Linked DNA regions of Stegostoma tigrinum. The protein of the gene in region 2 purifies or fractionates together with the protein of the main gene of each other region. This does not show direct contact. Links are inferred from orthologs where the notes say so. Each region holds a gene or a part of one and is shown on either strand. Other genes may lie near its edges.

Region 1 (8,189 bases), on a different chromosome or scaffold from region 2:
GTAAAAGTAGGAAAGTTTTGCCTCTGCTCTCAGGACACTGGTGAGATTGCACCTGGAGTACCGGATACAATTGTGGCCTTACTTCAGGAGGGATATTCTAGGATGGGAAACAGCTCAGAAAAGATTTAATTGGATAATTTGTTGACAAGGAGAGTGTCTTATGAGGAAAGGCTGAGCAGGCTGGATGCTTACAGCTTGGTGCCTCAGAGGGGTGATCTTATGAAACATTAGATGCTGAATGGGCTTGGCTAGGTAACTGATTTTTGACAGCATCCCGTTGAAAGGAGGCTAGAATTGTTGGGGAGTGAGCACTGTTTCAAGATAAGGCGTCTCTCATTTAAGATGAGATCAATAAAGTTACCCCAGAGGCAGCTTTTAAAATTATCTCCCATGGAGCACAGTGGAGGCTATAACAAAGACAGAGTTACATTTTTGATCAACAACGAGGACTAGGGTTATAAAGGCAGAAAGTGGAGTTTAAGCCACAGACAGGATCGTCATGATGAATACAAAAGCTGAATGGCCTATTCCTGTTTCTTCTGATCTTATTCAGAATGTAATTAGCAGTGAAGCACATCACCATCAGGAGCAATGTCAACTTTCACAAAGAATGTTTTCAGTGTCATGCCTTCACATAAATTGCCCCAGGAATTGCCGCAATTTATTATGCATGTTGATGGCAGTTTGGAATGGCAGAAGCTTCGTAGGACCTGGACAGTCTCTGACAACATTAAAACAAAGGACTCCGAGTTGACAAAGACAGGGAAGGGCAAGGCTATGGAAGCAAGGTCATTGGTGACAATTGAGGCCTCTTCTGCAATACTGTGGATAGTTGTGTTCGCCCTGCTATAGGAAGGATATTATTAAATTACAGAGCATTCAGAAACGATTTACCAGGATTGTTGCTGAGAATGGAGGGTTTGAGTTATAAAAATAGACTGCGACTTCTTTCAATGGAGCATAGGAGGTTCGGGGGTAACCTTATAGAGATTTATAAAATTATGAGAGGCATAGATAAGGTGAATAGCAAAAGGCCTTTAGACTTTTGCTAGGGTGGGGGAATTCAAAACTAGGTGGCATATTTTTAAGGAGAGAGGACAAAGATTTAAAAAGAACGTGAGGGGGAACTTTTTTTATTTACACAGAGTAGTTCTTTGTGGAATGAACTGCCAGAGGAAGTGACGGGCGCAACATTTAAAATTAATTTGGACAAAAACATGAATAGGAATGGTCTGGCATGTTATGGGCCAAATGCAGGAAAGTGGGATTAGTTTGGTTTGGGAACATGGCTGGCATGAACTGGTTGGACTGAATGGTCTATTTCCATGCTGTATTACTGAGGATCCATGATTATTTGGCTGATCACTCGGCAAGCGAACTCGTTTTGCTAAAAGCAATTCTTGTGGTCAAACACACAGCAAGTTGATCAGAGAAACTCAGGTCCTACATCGCTGTTACCCCAGAAGCAGCTTTTAAAATTATCTCCCACAGAGCACAGTGGAGGCCATAACAAAGACAAATGCAGAGTTACACTGATTTTTGATCAACAAGGGGGACAGGGTTATAGAGTTTAAACCACAGACAGGATCATCATGATGAATACAAATGCTGAATGGCAATACCAAACACATGATAGAAATAAACAAAGCCTTCACAAACATCTAATATGTAAGATGGATACAACTCAGTGCTAGCAAAACAGATTTTTGCAAATTACGAAACAATCTCATCATTTAATGTTCACACAGGTTCATCACTGGCTCGACACCTAATCACCCTGATAAGACTATTTCTCAGTCCCTCAAAGCCTCTGCTTAATACTTCTATCTTTTCATATATTTTGGGAATAAACTCATCAACAGCTGTCAAATCACAGCATAACAATAACTTTAAACAGTTTTTATTTCACAACTAATCAAAAGAATCAAAACACAAACACTGATGTTCAAAAACTTCATTCCAAATACTTTTCCCATCAATTTGAGGCATAAAGGAAGGAGAGTTCACTTGAATAGAATAATTCTACAGTGCTAGAGATATAAACCAAATCAGTCTTTCACACTTAACAGTATTGATTTGAGGTACCCCAGCTCTCCAGACTGAGCTGTTATCAGGCCAGCCCTTACAGCAACAACAGGGAACTAATTCCTCAGGCAGAGATTACAAGGAAGGGCCTACTGTACGGCAGGAAGTGCAAAGCCAGGCGGTCGTCCACACAACCACATACACACACACACACACACACAAAAGGCATGTCACCCAGAGCACAAGGGAGAAAATAAAAACAATTACACAAAACACACAGGTTCACAAACAACATTTAAAATAAACTGGCTAGTAAAAAGACATCAAGAATGATCTACTTCCAGGTCAAATGCTGAAAAGTTGCAGAAGGCCACGAGAAGCTGCAGCAGCTTGCAGGCCGAGGCTGCTGGCACCATGGATGTCAGTCACCTTCTGGAGAGGGACAAGAAGATGGAACAGACACACTCCAAAGCCAGGGCCTCCCTTTTCCTCAACACCTCATCCCAAACCTCACTTCCCTGCTCCCACCAGCTCCTCACCTTGTACTTTCAACCCGTCACCCCAACTCTCTAACCTTCAACCCCTCTGCCTGTTTCCAATCCTCACTCCTCCTCCTCCCCTCAGCTCAGCTCCCTCACTCCCTCCTTCCAATTCTCAAGTCCTTCCACTCTCAAACCTCTCCAACCCTTCACCTCCAACCTTCAACCCTTTCTCTCCCGTCCTTCAATCCCTCTCTCTCCACTCCTTCAATCCCCTCTCCCTCCAACCCTCACACCTGCCTCACTCCAGGCCTTTCCTCCCCTTCCTCACCTGCTGATCGATGTCTCCCACTGCGAAGAACTTCACCTCCTTAAACAGATCCGGGGTGACCGCCGGCTCCTCACTGCGCGGTGTCTCCGACATGTCGGTGAGTGAGCCGGGGCTGCTGATGCTTGGGTACGGGTTATTCCCCAACCCCTTTCCCTACCTCTATCCCCGGAGATCCCACTCGATACATTCAGCAGCCCGCGCCTGCGCACCTCTCCTCCCCTGCCGGACGGGGAACCCCACCAGAACAATCCTAAAACAGCAAGGGGGATTCCCTAATCTATTTGAAATCACCCTGCACTCAAACCCGATATCCATCATTAAGCACAATTTGGTAGAATATATATTTAAATTAATCATCTACAGGTGCTTTTTTGTTCTTTATTTGTCTTTATTTTTCTGATAACTTGGGCATCTCCATTCCACGGACCCCTGTCTGAAGCGATGGTCGGGTCCGCGTTGCAATGGGCGGGGCCTGGGTGGAACAGGGGAGCGCGCGCGATTTCCAGGCGGCGATTGTTACAAATAACGCGGGAAATGTTGCCACTTTGCAAACATTGAGCTCTCTGGTTTCTGACAAACTGAAGGCTGAGGCATGAGGCATTTGGGGCAGGGTTTGTTCATTACCTGTAAATATGCCGACACCCAGTTACCAACACGAGGATCAGGCTTACCAAAATAAAACGAAACTGCTTGTGATGATACTTACCCCTACTCAAAATAAGATGAGCGTAACGTTATCTGGCCTCTGGAATCCCAAGCAAAGAGTTTGACTGCTTCCTTGGTCTGGCAGTTTCAAACAGACAGGGAGAGGGAAATATTTCTCCAGAGTAATTCTTTTTCCCAATCCTTAAAGGGTTTTCATGTTCTTTGACAAGGCAAGTTTTTTTTAAAGTTATGGTATATGCTTCCTGCAGTTGACTTCAAAATATTCATTTCATTTTTCTTAAAGTATTTTCATTCATGCGCGGTTTAATTAGTTGACGTTATTGTTTACAATATAGGAGTAGGCTGTCCGGCCCTTTGAGTCTGCTCCGCCATTCAATAAGATCATGGCTGAACTCTTGTAAGATAACAAAGTGTGGAGCTGGATGAACACAGCAGGCCAAGCAGCATCTCAGGAGCACAGAAGCTGACTTTTCGGTCCTAGACCATTCATCAGCGATCTTTTCATGGACTCAGATCTACTTACCCGCACTCTCACCGTATCCCTTAATTCCTCTATTGTTCAAAAAAAATCTACCGTAGCTTTAAAAATGTTTACTGAAGTAACGTCAACTACTTCATTGGGCAAGGAACTCCATAGATTAACAACCCTCTGGAAAATTTGCTTGCCTGTTTAGGGAATTAGCCAGGTAATTTTTCTTTGAGGTTTTAACAAGGTAAAGTTTATCCTGAAACCAACCTAAGTAAACACTAGAATAGGCCACCTGCACATCTGTCAATGTGATATACTGCGTCCACTGTTCCCGTTGTGGCCTCCTCTACATCGGGGAAACCAGACGGAAACTTGGGGACCGCTTTGCGGAACACCTGTGCTTTGTTCGCAACAAACAACTACACCTCCCAGTCATGAACCATTTCAATTCCCCCCCCCCCCCACCAACTCCTCGGACGACATGTCCATCCTGGGCCTCCTGCATTGCCACGATGATGCCACCTGAAAGATGCAGGAACAGCATCTCATATTTCGCTTGGGAACTCCTCAGCCCAAGGGTATCAATGTGGATTTTGCAAGCTTCAAAATCTCCCCTCCCCCGCCCACATGCCAAAACCAGCCCAGCTAGTCCCCAACTCTCTAACGATTCCTCCCACCTCAAGCCCCACCCCCATCCCCTACTCGCTAACCACATCCCGCCACCCTGACCTGTCCCTGGACTGACCTATCCCCCCAACTCCCCACCTACATTCACCTTCACTGGATCTAACCCCTCCTCTTTGTCCTGTCTGTCTCCTCTCACCCTATCTTCTCCTCTATCCATCTTCTACCCACCTCCCCCATCTCCCTATTTACTTCAGAATCCCCTTCCCCTCCCCCATTTCTGAAGAAGGGTTCAGGCCTGAAACGTCAAGCTTTCCAGCTCCTCTGATGCTGCTTGGCCTGCTGTGTTCATTCAGCTTCACACCTTGTTATCTCAGATTCTCCAGCATCCACAGTTCCTACTATCTCTAACTAGGATAGGCCACTTGGCTTCTTGAACCTCCTCCACCATCCAATAAGATTACAGCTGAACTCATAGCTGCACAATCCCTTCCAGCCACTGTCTCATCAAGAATCTGTCTGCCTCAACATTAAAAAATATTCAAGGACTTTGTAAGCAATGCCTTTTGTGGAACATACATCCATGACTCATCACTGGTGGCATGGTGGCTCAGTGGTTACCATTCCTGCCTCACAGCACCAGGGATCTGGATTCGATACCTACCTTGGGCGATTGTCTGTGTGGAGTTTTCAGATGGGTTTCCTGCGAGTGCTTTGGTTTCCTTCCACAGTCCAAAGATATGCAGGGGGAGGTGATGGCCAAGTGGCATTATGGCTAGACTGTTAATCCAGAGACCCAGGTAACATTCTGGGGACCCAGGTTCGAATCCCGCCATGGCAGATGGTGGATTTTGAATTCAATGAAATACCTGGAATTAAGAATCTAATGATGAATCCATTGTCAATTGTCGGCAAAACCCATCTGGTTCACTAATGCCCTTGAGGGAAGGAAGCTGCCATCCTTACTTGGTCTGGACTGCTCGTGACTCCAGACCCACAGCAATGTGGTTGACTCATAACTTACCTGTGGGCAATCAGGAATGGGCAATAAATGCTGCCAGGTCAGTGATACCCTCCTCCTGTTAATTAAAAAAAAAGGTTGTACAGATTGGCTGTGGCAAATGCAGGGTCTGGTTGGGATAACCTTTGGAGCGTTGGTGTGGACCAATGGGCTGAATGGCCTGGTTCCACACTGTAGAGATTCTGTGACTCTCACTCCTGTTAGGAAGAAAATTATCATCTTTGCTTAAAATGGGTAACTCCTCATTTTTCAGTGATGAATATTTCTTGATTCTTCCACAAGAGGATACACCTTTTCTACAACAACATTACCATAAGAAATAGGAACATTCGGTCATTCAGTCCTTCAATCCTGATCCACCAATCAATAGAATTAAGGCTGATCAAAAAAATCCTCACATCCACTTTCCTGCCTCTTCCCTATACGCCTTGATATCCCTATTTAGTTAAGAATCTATCTATCTAAGCTTTAAATATACACAAAGACTGCCCCCACAGTTCTCTGCAGTAAGGAGTTCCAAAGACTCTCACAACCCTCTGAGAAAGGAATGTCCTCCTCTTCTCAGTCCTAATCTTGCACCCCTTCATTCTGAGACAATGCCGTCTGGTTCTAGACTCCCCTATGAGGGAAACATCCTCTCAGCATTTATATTGTCAAGTCCCTTAGGAATCCAATATGTTTCAATGAGATCACCTGTCAGTCTTCTAATCTGCATGGGGAAGAGCCCCAACCTCTTTCACCTTTGCTCATCATACAATCCCTCCATTCCAGGGATCATCCTAGTGAATAGATAATAAAATGTGAGGCTGGATGAACACAGCAGGCCAAGCAGCATCTCAGGAGCACAAAAGCTGACGTTTCGGGCCTAGACCCTTCATCAGAGTCCTCCTGAGATGCTGCTTGGCCTGCTGTGTTCATCCAGCCTCACATTTTATTATCTTGGAATTCTCCAGCATCTGCAGTTCCCATTATGTCATCATCCTAGTGAACCTTCTCTGAGCTGCTTCCAATGATATCCTTCCTTAAATAAGGGGATGAACTCTGCTCACATTTTCCCAAATATGGTCTCACCAGCACCCTGTATGGTTGCAGTAAGACTTCCCCACTTTTATATTCCAATATCCTTGAAGTAAGGGCCAACATTCCATTGGCCTTCCTGATACCTGCTGCACCCTGTGTGCTGGCTTTCTGTGTGTTGTGCACAAGTCCTCCCGCAAGCCCCTTTGTTTTGCAACCAAGATCCCTTAGGATCTTATACTTTTTAATCAAAGTGTCATTTATTGACGAAACTCCACTGTCTATGAAACAGCAGCACAGATGCCAGTATCCCATCACCAAGCCACCCTTTCTTTACTTGTGCGCACTACACTGGCTGTGGCCAGCCAACTTGGAGTCAATCCCCCGAACTGAAGAGATTCTAAATCCCCTGGTTATATTAGTCAGCCAGGGCTTCCTGATTAGCCCAATCAAGGATCTCGAAGTCAACAAGATCCAACTGGTCCCAATCACTACAGTATACAAGAAACCCAAAGAACTGTAGATGCTGAAAATCAGGATCCAAAACAGAAATTGTTGGAAAAACTCAGTAGGTCTGGCATCATCTGTGGCGAGAAAGCGAAGTTAGCATTTTGTGTCCAGTGACTCTTTCTTCAAAACACCTAGTGGATTCAAGGTTTAGCCTGCAAAGTAACTTGACCAGTTGATCCAACAAGTGCACTCAAATTGTAAACACATAATGGCAGATCAAAAGTAGTTCTTGGTAAATCTGACCCAATCAGAGAAATAAGAAACATTCCCGCGTATGGCTAATAGTTTGATCAGCTGTAGTATTTTAAATGCTTTTGGTTCCTGAGCCATTCAATGTTTTAAGATGTAGATAGAATATTCCTTTCCCTTCTGGGAACATCGCTGTCAAAATTCAGTGTAGAATTTTCTGCCCACTTGCAGGGAGGTTGACCCAGTTTACAACTCAACAGAAGCTTAGCTGTGTGATAGAGGCAGAGGGGGAGAACAGATTGTGCTCAGTCCTGCCAGTAACATCTGCCACCCAAGTCCAAATACACATCAATGCATAAGTAAAAACTTGTTTCTTCACCCGGCTTCCACATAAATGCCATCAATGGGGAGGTAGTGGTATTATGGTCAGTCCCTGGCCGTGCAGTCAGATCCTGTGCGGACCAACTGACAGAGGTATTTACTGACATCTTCAACCTCTCCCTCCTACAAGCCACAGTCCTCACCTGCTTCAAGAAGACCACTATCATCCCCTTACCTAAGAAAACACAAGTAAGGTGCCTTAATGACTACTGCCCAGTGGCTCTGACCTCAATAATCACAAAGTGCTTTGAGAGGCTGGTCATGGCCCACATCAACACCAGTCTCCCAACCTGTCTAGATCCCTTGCAGTTTGCCTACCATCAAAGCAGGTCCACTGCAGATGCCATTTCTGTATCCCCACACTCATCCCTGGAATATGTGGACAACAAGGACACCTACATCAAACTCTTGCTCATCGACTACAGCTCTGCCTTCAACACCATTATCCCCTCCGGACTGATCTCAAAACTTCAAGAC
Region 2 (7,618 bases):
AACAAACTTTTAAAAAAAATGAAGTATGCATGGAAATGCCAGCTATTTTTCAAAGATCCATCTAAACTCTGCAAAATTGAAAATGACAACTTTAAGATCTATGAGTAAACTCATATCATCTGAATCAAGCTTAGCCACAGCTACTTACAACAGGTTACTTATGAAGATTAGGATTACACATTGACCATTAAGTTCCAAATATTGGTCAACTAATTAAATGATGGATGACTAGTCTACCAGGAGAAGCTTATTTTGGAATTCACTAAACAACAATTTATTAACTATGATAAATTTGTATTGAACATGCAGCTAGTCAATTACGTAAAATTCTAACTGGTTTTATTAAAATAATTATTTCTCTCAGTTACTGTTAAGACAAGTACTCCATTCGGGGAGACAGATTCCAAGGGAGCATTTTGACACCATTCCTCACGTGCAAGTCTGAGCAATTATTTTCTTTTGGTTCAATGAGACGTAGGTGTAACTAACAAAGCCAGTGTTTACTGCTTTTTCCTAAATTATTCTCAAGTAATGGTAAGTCATTTTGAATTACTGCAATTAATCAATGTAAAGGTAGATAACAATGCTGTTAGGCTTTCAGGATGTTAACTCAGTGATAAAGAAGGAACTGCAGAGTATTTCCGAGTCAGGACGGCACATGATTTGGAAGGGAATATCTTTGCCAAAACGTATGACTAACAAAATCACAATACAGCTTCTATCCATTCCTCATCAGACATCCAAAGAACACACTTTCATGTAGACTCACTGGAAGGTTTGGATTTAGGACAATTTTCAAATATATACACAACGCCCCATCACCATCTCAACTCTGATTGTCAGTATGTTTGGTACGAATTCAAAGATCAAACTCAGAACCTGATTTGTGACTGACAAGGCAGTCTAAGAAACTTCATTACTGTTTCCTAATCCAGAACATCAATATTGGGGGAGTTTTGTTTGTCAACACACAAGACATTTAACTTTGCATCCACTACTGACTGGCTTATGTCTCAATATAATGAATCATATCTAAGGAGTCTCAAAATAAACTGCCAAACAGAATTTGCTTTCAAAGTCAAATGCTTTCTACTAGACTTTAATGCTGTCCAACCTACAAACCTGCCAAATTTTGACTCACCGCTATCATAGGCAGGTAACTGTTTCGTGCTTAGATTCACAACAGCAATTGTGTTGACAATTAAAATTATTTAAAACTAATGAGCTATATCATTGTACCATGTTGCAGTTGAAAGATGGCACTCAAAACCTCAATCTAGTGCGTGAAAAACTGGTGATACTTCCCAAACAATAAGCATATAATGATACACGAGTAACGTCTGAGTAAAATCAACATGCTACAAATATACACTGAAACAAAAACAGTTTATGTAAAATCTAATGGAAGCCATTACAACTCGATAGGAGCATATCAGACAGCATTACAACTCTTACGTAAACTCGGGTTTTACCCCCACCACCCGATTAAAAACATGAACATTGAATTCCAAACACGATGAAGCATTTCAAGTGTGTAATTAAAAACTGGAGAGACTGGACATGCCAAAAATTTTCAACATTAACAGACTTCACAACGTACATAAGAGGAAACGATAAGTTAATTCTGAAAACGTGTATTCTGCAGTATAAATAATTAGAATCCAGCAAATACCCATTTATATATACACAAAGTTTATCCGAAAAAAGTATGGCCCCGTCATCTGAGCAACTGCAACCGATAAACATGTATGTGACTTAAAAGATGTACGTTTAATGAAATGTCACAAATTCTGGATGTACGAGCCACAAATGTTTCACATTTAACAGCTTGGTGCTACAGGTTGAGTGAATCACTTTTGTATTTTTCTTATAAAAAGGAAAAACAATCCTGTCAGTAAGCGTTTTTTTCTGGACTTAATTTTCTTCACATTGCACAATGCCGATTACAGATCTGTTACTGACTAAATTGGCCCGAATTTTTTTTTGTTGTTGCCCTCCCCTACCAATCACTCACTATTTTTTCCTCTATCCTCCCTATCCCGCCATCTTGGAGAGAAGCAGCCATTTTTAACGCGGAGCGAAACTTCAACCCATACACAACACAAAACCCATAGTAGAGAGCCTGGAGGCTAGAGAGGCTGGGCGCACAGAGGGGCAAGCGAAAAATGTACCACATACAAAAACGAAAAGACATGTCCTACACATTTGACGATCAATGATTTGCAAACGTCTCTACTTGTCTGCACCGTTGCTTTTCAAGTTAGTATACATATTATAGAGGAAAATCCCTCATTAAGACAAGCCTACTCTCCGTGAAATGGGAACGCTTCCACAAATCTTGCTTTATTGATAGAGGTCAGATAACGTATGTCTCCTTCTTTACTATAAAAGTACCAAAATGCATAAGGACAAAACAAATAGCCTGATTTTTTTTCAGTTCTTACCTTTACTAACAAGGCCTTCGTTCTGGCGCCATCTTCATGAACCTTCAGAAATCCAAACACTCGGCTGTGCGATAGCGACAGACAGATGACATACGTTAAAATATGTTTTAATTTATGCATAAACACTAAAACTTAATCAAAAACACAACACAAAACTTGCACAATTTTCTAACCTATCGAGAGTTGCAATTGAGTCTTTCTCCTGGGGCGTCAGAGTTGGAAAGTCATCCTCAATTTCACTCGGTTTTCCCGCCGCCATTTTCTTTTCCTCATCACCGAATGATACTCCACAGGATTTCATGGGCTTACAGACAGAGATGAAAAAAAATGTTTGCAATTTATTTTTGCTATTCTTTATTATTGCCGTGGAGTTGTTTTTATTTTTTCACATCCTTCAAGATCTTGCTTCTTTTCTAACATGCACGTGCTGCAGTCCTTGTTTTGGGGGAGATAAAATTAAAACAGCATTGAAATAATATTAGCAAAAAAAAAGAAAAACTTCAAAGCAGAAAGTTGTAATTGTGTCACACCGAATCCACGCCGTAAGCGCACAAACAGCAAACCCACTCCCGGCCAATGGACAGCGGTAGCGCGACCCACGTGCCTTTGTGTTGATTTACGTCAGTCCGTGCTGCGGGATCGACAGCAGCGTGGACCCACCCCTTCCGGCTGCTGCGGGCCCCAATTGGCTGTCAAACTCAAACGCTTCGCCGCCCTTTCAGCGGGCGGCCGCATTCTGCGCCTTCCCACTGGACGGTGGTGACTGTCAATCGTCCAAATTCTCAAACACGTCAGCAAGGCTCGGGCTCGTCGCAGTATAAAATCAATGGTCGCTGCGCATAACTTTATTTTTGCTCCATTTTAGGTGGGTAGTGTAACTTTAGATGTATGGTGTCTGGGTAGTTTGGGTGTGTTAGCCAGGTTTTATTTTGATTATGCCCGTGATGGCAGCTATACCCGATTTTTTCTTTTAGTAACTTTTGAAGGCCCTGGTACCAAAGCAATTGTTGGTGACAAAAGCATTCCGTCTCCCGTTTCCTACCCCGCCTGCCCAGTCCTTGAAAGTAAATCGATGTTGGTTGCAGTTTGGTGACTTCTAAAGATTTCTACTATTCATACTTCCAACTGTTTACGTTAAACAACCACGAGAGATGGCGCTGTACAAAATGGGACCGCTACAAAGGGAGTCGCCTTGTAGAACTGGAGAATTTTTGATGTTTCTCCTCACCACCACCACCACCTTCCCCGCGCCTTCCTGTCGCTCCCAGCCTGTGTAGCGCCTGGCGATCGGCAATGTTCCCCTAAAATTTCATGTCTTTAATTCCTAGCAAAAGCTACCCTGTGGCTTGACAGTCAGATATACGTAAACCCAGAAGACTCCGATTCAGCCAAAGTGAAACGACCAAATGTATATTTCAAGACTGTAGTTTTATGCCGTTTTGTCTTCCTCTTTCCTCCCTAGGGTGGCAGGATAGAGATGGACTTGTTCTAGTAATTTCGTGGGCCTCAGCCTTAACTCGTCCTTGATATGCTCCATCTATTCATTCATGTGCAAATCAGTATAAAAGCATATTCTTTAAGATATTAAACATATTTTACCATGTCTTTCTTTTGATAAGTGTTATGAAGTAGTGTGTTTTTACTGTTTTCTTGCTTTCATTTTGGTATATGTACCACTTTTTATCATGCGAAGCTTGTACTTCTGGCTTGGGATACTCTATCTCCATAAAGTGCATCTAGATTTTAAATATTCTGTATTTATGGGTTTAGTTTTTGCAAAGTGCATTTGTGTTGTAATTTTGAGGCAGTTGGCACAGCTCAAAACAAATCTCTTCCAAAGGTTTCACCACACTAGCTGGCACTTCGTAGATAAATTGTGCGAATGCTCCTATTTTATTTGCCCTTGAAATAGCATATGGAAATTGGCAATATTCTGTAGGCAGTATCAGCAAACTTCAGACAGTCAAGCATTTATCTCCAGTTTTTTAGGACCTTGCTGTATGTGTATTGGCAGTTGTATTTTTCTACACTTATAAAATTAAAGACCAGAAATATTCATCAGATCAGTGGCTCCCAATGATGGAAAGAAACAGTACTTCAAAATTACTTCAATAATCCAAAGAACTGCAGATGTTGGAAATCCAAAATAAAATGGAGAAACCCAGCAGGGCTGGCAGCATCTGGAGAGAAAGCAGATTTAACATTTTGGTTAGCTGACTGTTCTTCAAAATTACCTAGGAATGTCAAAAGCAGTATAAAATACAATGGGAACAGGTAGCTAGAAATGCCTCAGTAGCCATCCACTAAAACATCAGGATAATAAAATGTGAGGCTGGATGAACACAGCAGGCCAAGCAGCATCTCAGGAGCACAAAAGCTGACGTTTCGGGCCTAGACCCGCTCTCTGATGAAGGGTCTAGGCCCGAAACGTCAGCTTTTGTGCTCCTGAGATGCTGCTTGGCCTGCTGTGTTCATCCAGCCTCACATTTTATTATCTTGGAATTCTCCAGCATCTGCAGTTCCCATTATCTCTGACACTAAAACATCAGGTTCAGGCAGTGGGCAGTGATTTAACTTTGCCGTCTGTATGGTTGTATCTTGCTGGGGTGTTCTTAGTGAGAGATATTTCGCCAGTAGACTTGATCTTCTGCCTGCTGTGGGAATGGGGAGCTGTCATCATTATCACCCTTCAATAGCATGTTCCAGACCTAAAAGTTCAATTGCCTAGATGGACAAGGGCAGTAGTTTTACAATCACTGAGACAAAATTCAGGGTTACCCTTGCTACTAGCTGAGTAAGTGTACCTGCACCACTGACTGAAAACTGCTCAGGACCACCCTATTGAGGGCGATTAGGGATTGGGCAATAAACGCTAGTCAATCCTGCAAAAGTCAAAAGATGTGCAGGCTAGGTGGGTGACCATGCTAAATTGCCCATAGTGTTCCAGGGTGTGTGGGTTATAGGGGGATGGGTCTTGGTGGGCTGCTGCATGGAGCAGTGTGGACTTGTTGGGCCAAAGGGCCTGTTTCCACATTGTAGGGAATCTAAAAGAATAAAACAAAGACTTAATTTGATTAGCTGTTTTCTTTGAAGTTTTTGCTGGTGTATCTCAGAAAGGGAACAATGTTTTACTTAATTGGAACATGTTTGGAGCTAAAAATGGGGCAGGACTTTGGAACTTAAATCTTTGAACAGGGACGTTTTAATGCAGGGAAGTATTTTATTTGTGGGATATGGATAACACTTGCTGGCCAGCATTTATTGCCTATCCCTAGTTGCCCTTGAGAGGGTGGTCTGCCTTCTCTAACCATTGCAGTCGTTGTGTTGCAGGTAGATCCATAATTCCCTTAGGAAGGTAATTCCAGGATTCTGACCCAGCAAGGAAGGAACAGCAATAAGTCAGGATGGTGAGTGGCTTGGATGGCATCTTCCTTTGAGATGGAAGAGGTCATAAGTTAAGAAGGGACTGTCGAAGGATCTTTTGTGGAATTCTGCAGTGCATCTTGTAGACAGTACACACTGCTGCTACTGAGCATTGGTGATGGAGGAGCAGATGCTTGTGAATGTGGTGTCAATCAAGCAGGTTGTTTTGTCCTGGATTACGTCAAGTTCGTGGTGTTGGAGCTGCACCCATCCAGTTAAGTGGGGAGTATCCGACAACATTCCTTCCTTGTGTCCTATAGATTGGGGGACAGGCAGTGGGGAACCAAAAGGTAAGTTACTGCTGCAGTATTCTTAGCCTCTGACCTGCTCGTCTAGCTGTTGTATTTATACTGGCAAATCCAGTTTCTGGTCAGTGCTGACCCCAGGATCAATGATGGTGGTTAGATTGTGCATTATTGGAGATGTCTTGACATTAGTGTGGCCTGAATGTTACTTGCCAGATGAAGGCCAGATCTGGTGGCATTTGAATAGTGACTGCTTCAGTATCTAAGGAGTTGCAAATGTACTGAACGTTGTGCAGTCATTGGCAAACATCCCCACTTCTGACCTTTCATTGGAGTAAGGGTCATTGATGAAGGCGTTGAAGATAGTTAGGCCTAGGACACAACCTTGAGGACTTCTTGCAGAGAAATCCTAAAGCTGAGGTAACTGAATTCAAGAAACATGACCAAAATAACCAAGTGCCAGATATGACTCTTCATATAAATGTTATAAGTTTTAAATTTGTCATACATTTAATAGTGCAGGTGTACGTTAGCTATTCCACACTGGAAACAGTCCATATTTGCCTCTTTTTAATCTTTTCCCCATTAGTATTGTTTAACCCTGTCCTGCTGATTAACTTTAACTTCTGCGTACATAGAGCTGCTGATAGGGTAACCACCCCAAGGAACGAATAGGAGCACTGTCAGATACAATTTGATACATGTTCCCTTGCATGCCTTGTAATTATTCTAGGCCAATGTTGTCGTTTGCTTCACTGACCTCAACCCTTTACCACTTTTCTATCATAGTCTGTGTCAAAGCCCAGTTTTACTTCAACTTGAGTAATGTTGGCCCATAATTAGCAGATTGTTTTTAGTTTGCGCTGTTTTTTGCTCCCATCAATCTTAATCCATCTCACTAGTAGTATGACAGGGAAGCAATGATCTGTTGGTATTATCACCAGACAATCAATGCAGAGACCCAGCCATTGTTCTGAGGACCTATGTTCAAATCCAGCCATGGCAGATTGTGGAATTTAAATTCATTAATAATCTGGAGTAAATAATCTAATGATGATCATGAAACCATTGCTGATTGTTGGAAAAACCATCTGGTTCACTAATGTTGAAGAGATGGAGACTGCAGTCCTTAACCTTTTCTGGCCTCCACGTGAATCCAAACTCAGCAACAACTTAGACTCTTAACTGCCTTCTGGGCAATTAGGAATGGGTAATAAATGTTGGTCCAGCCAGTGATGTCCACATCCCATGAATGAATTTTTAAAAATATCATCAGGCTTCTTTCCTGAAGTTTAATACTGTATGTTATTTCAGTGTCTTTCCCAATTAGAAGCAAAAACTAATAGTACAATCACTGCTGTAGTAAGTAAATCAAATATTTTAGTTGAAGTCCTGACAATATTACATAATGACTATTTGTCAGTTTTATCAACACTATAATTATTGTTTAATTGTGACACCAGTAGATAGTATGGTAGGTTTTCCAGCAAAATACATTGTTTTTAG

Evidence for each region.
Region 1: the proteins of kdm6a (region 2) and paxip1 purify together in Homo sapiens (affinity purification with mass spectrometry; 6 studies listed by BioGRID and IntAct, with this or other methods). This does not show direct contact. The link is inferred for Stegostoma tigrinum from reciprocal best matches to the Homo sapiens genes KDM6A and PAXIP1.

What each region holds. Positions count from the first base shown.
Region 1 is NC_081355.1:142,821,260-142,829,448, reverse strand, and holds the start of paxip1 (PAX-interacting protein 1), read right to left. Parts: upstream 3,042-8,189; 5' UTR 2,929-3,041; coding exon 2,836-2,928; intron 1-2,835.
Region 2 is NC_081365.1:42,761,919-42,769,536, forward strand, and holds the start of kdm6a (lysine-specific demethylase 6A), read right to left. Parts: upstream 3,024-7,618; 5' UTR 2,746-3,023; coding exon 2,618-2,745; intron 2,509-2,617; coding exon 2,445-2,508; intron 1-2,444. UniProt on the Homo sapiens protein: Histone demethylase that specifically demethylates 'Lys-27' of histone H3, thereby playing a central role in histone code. Demethylates trimethylated and dimethylated but not monomethylated H3 'Lys-27'.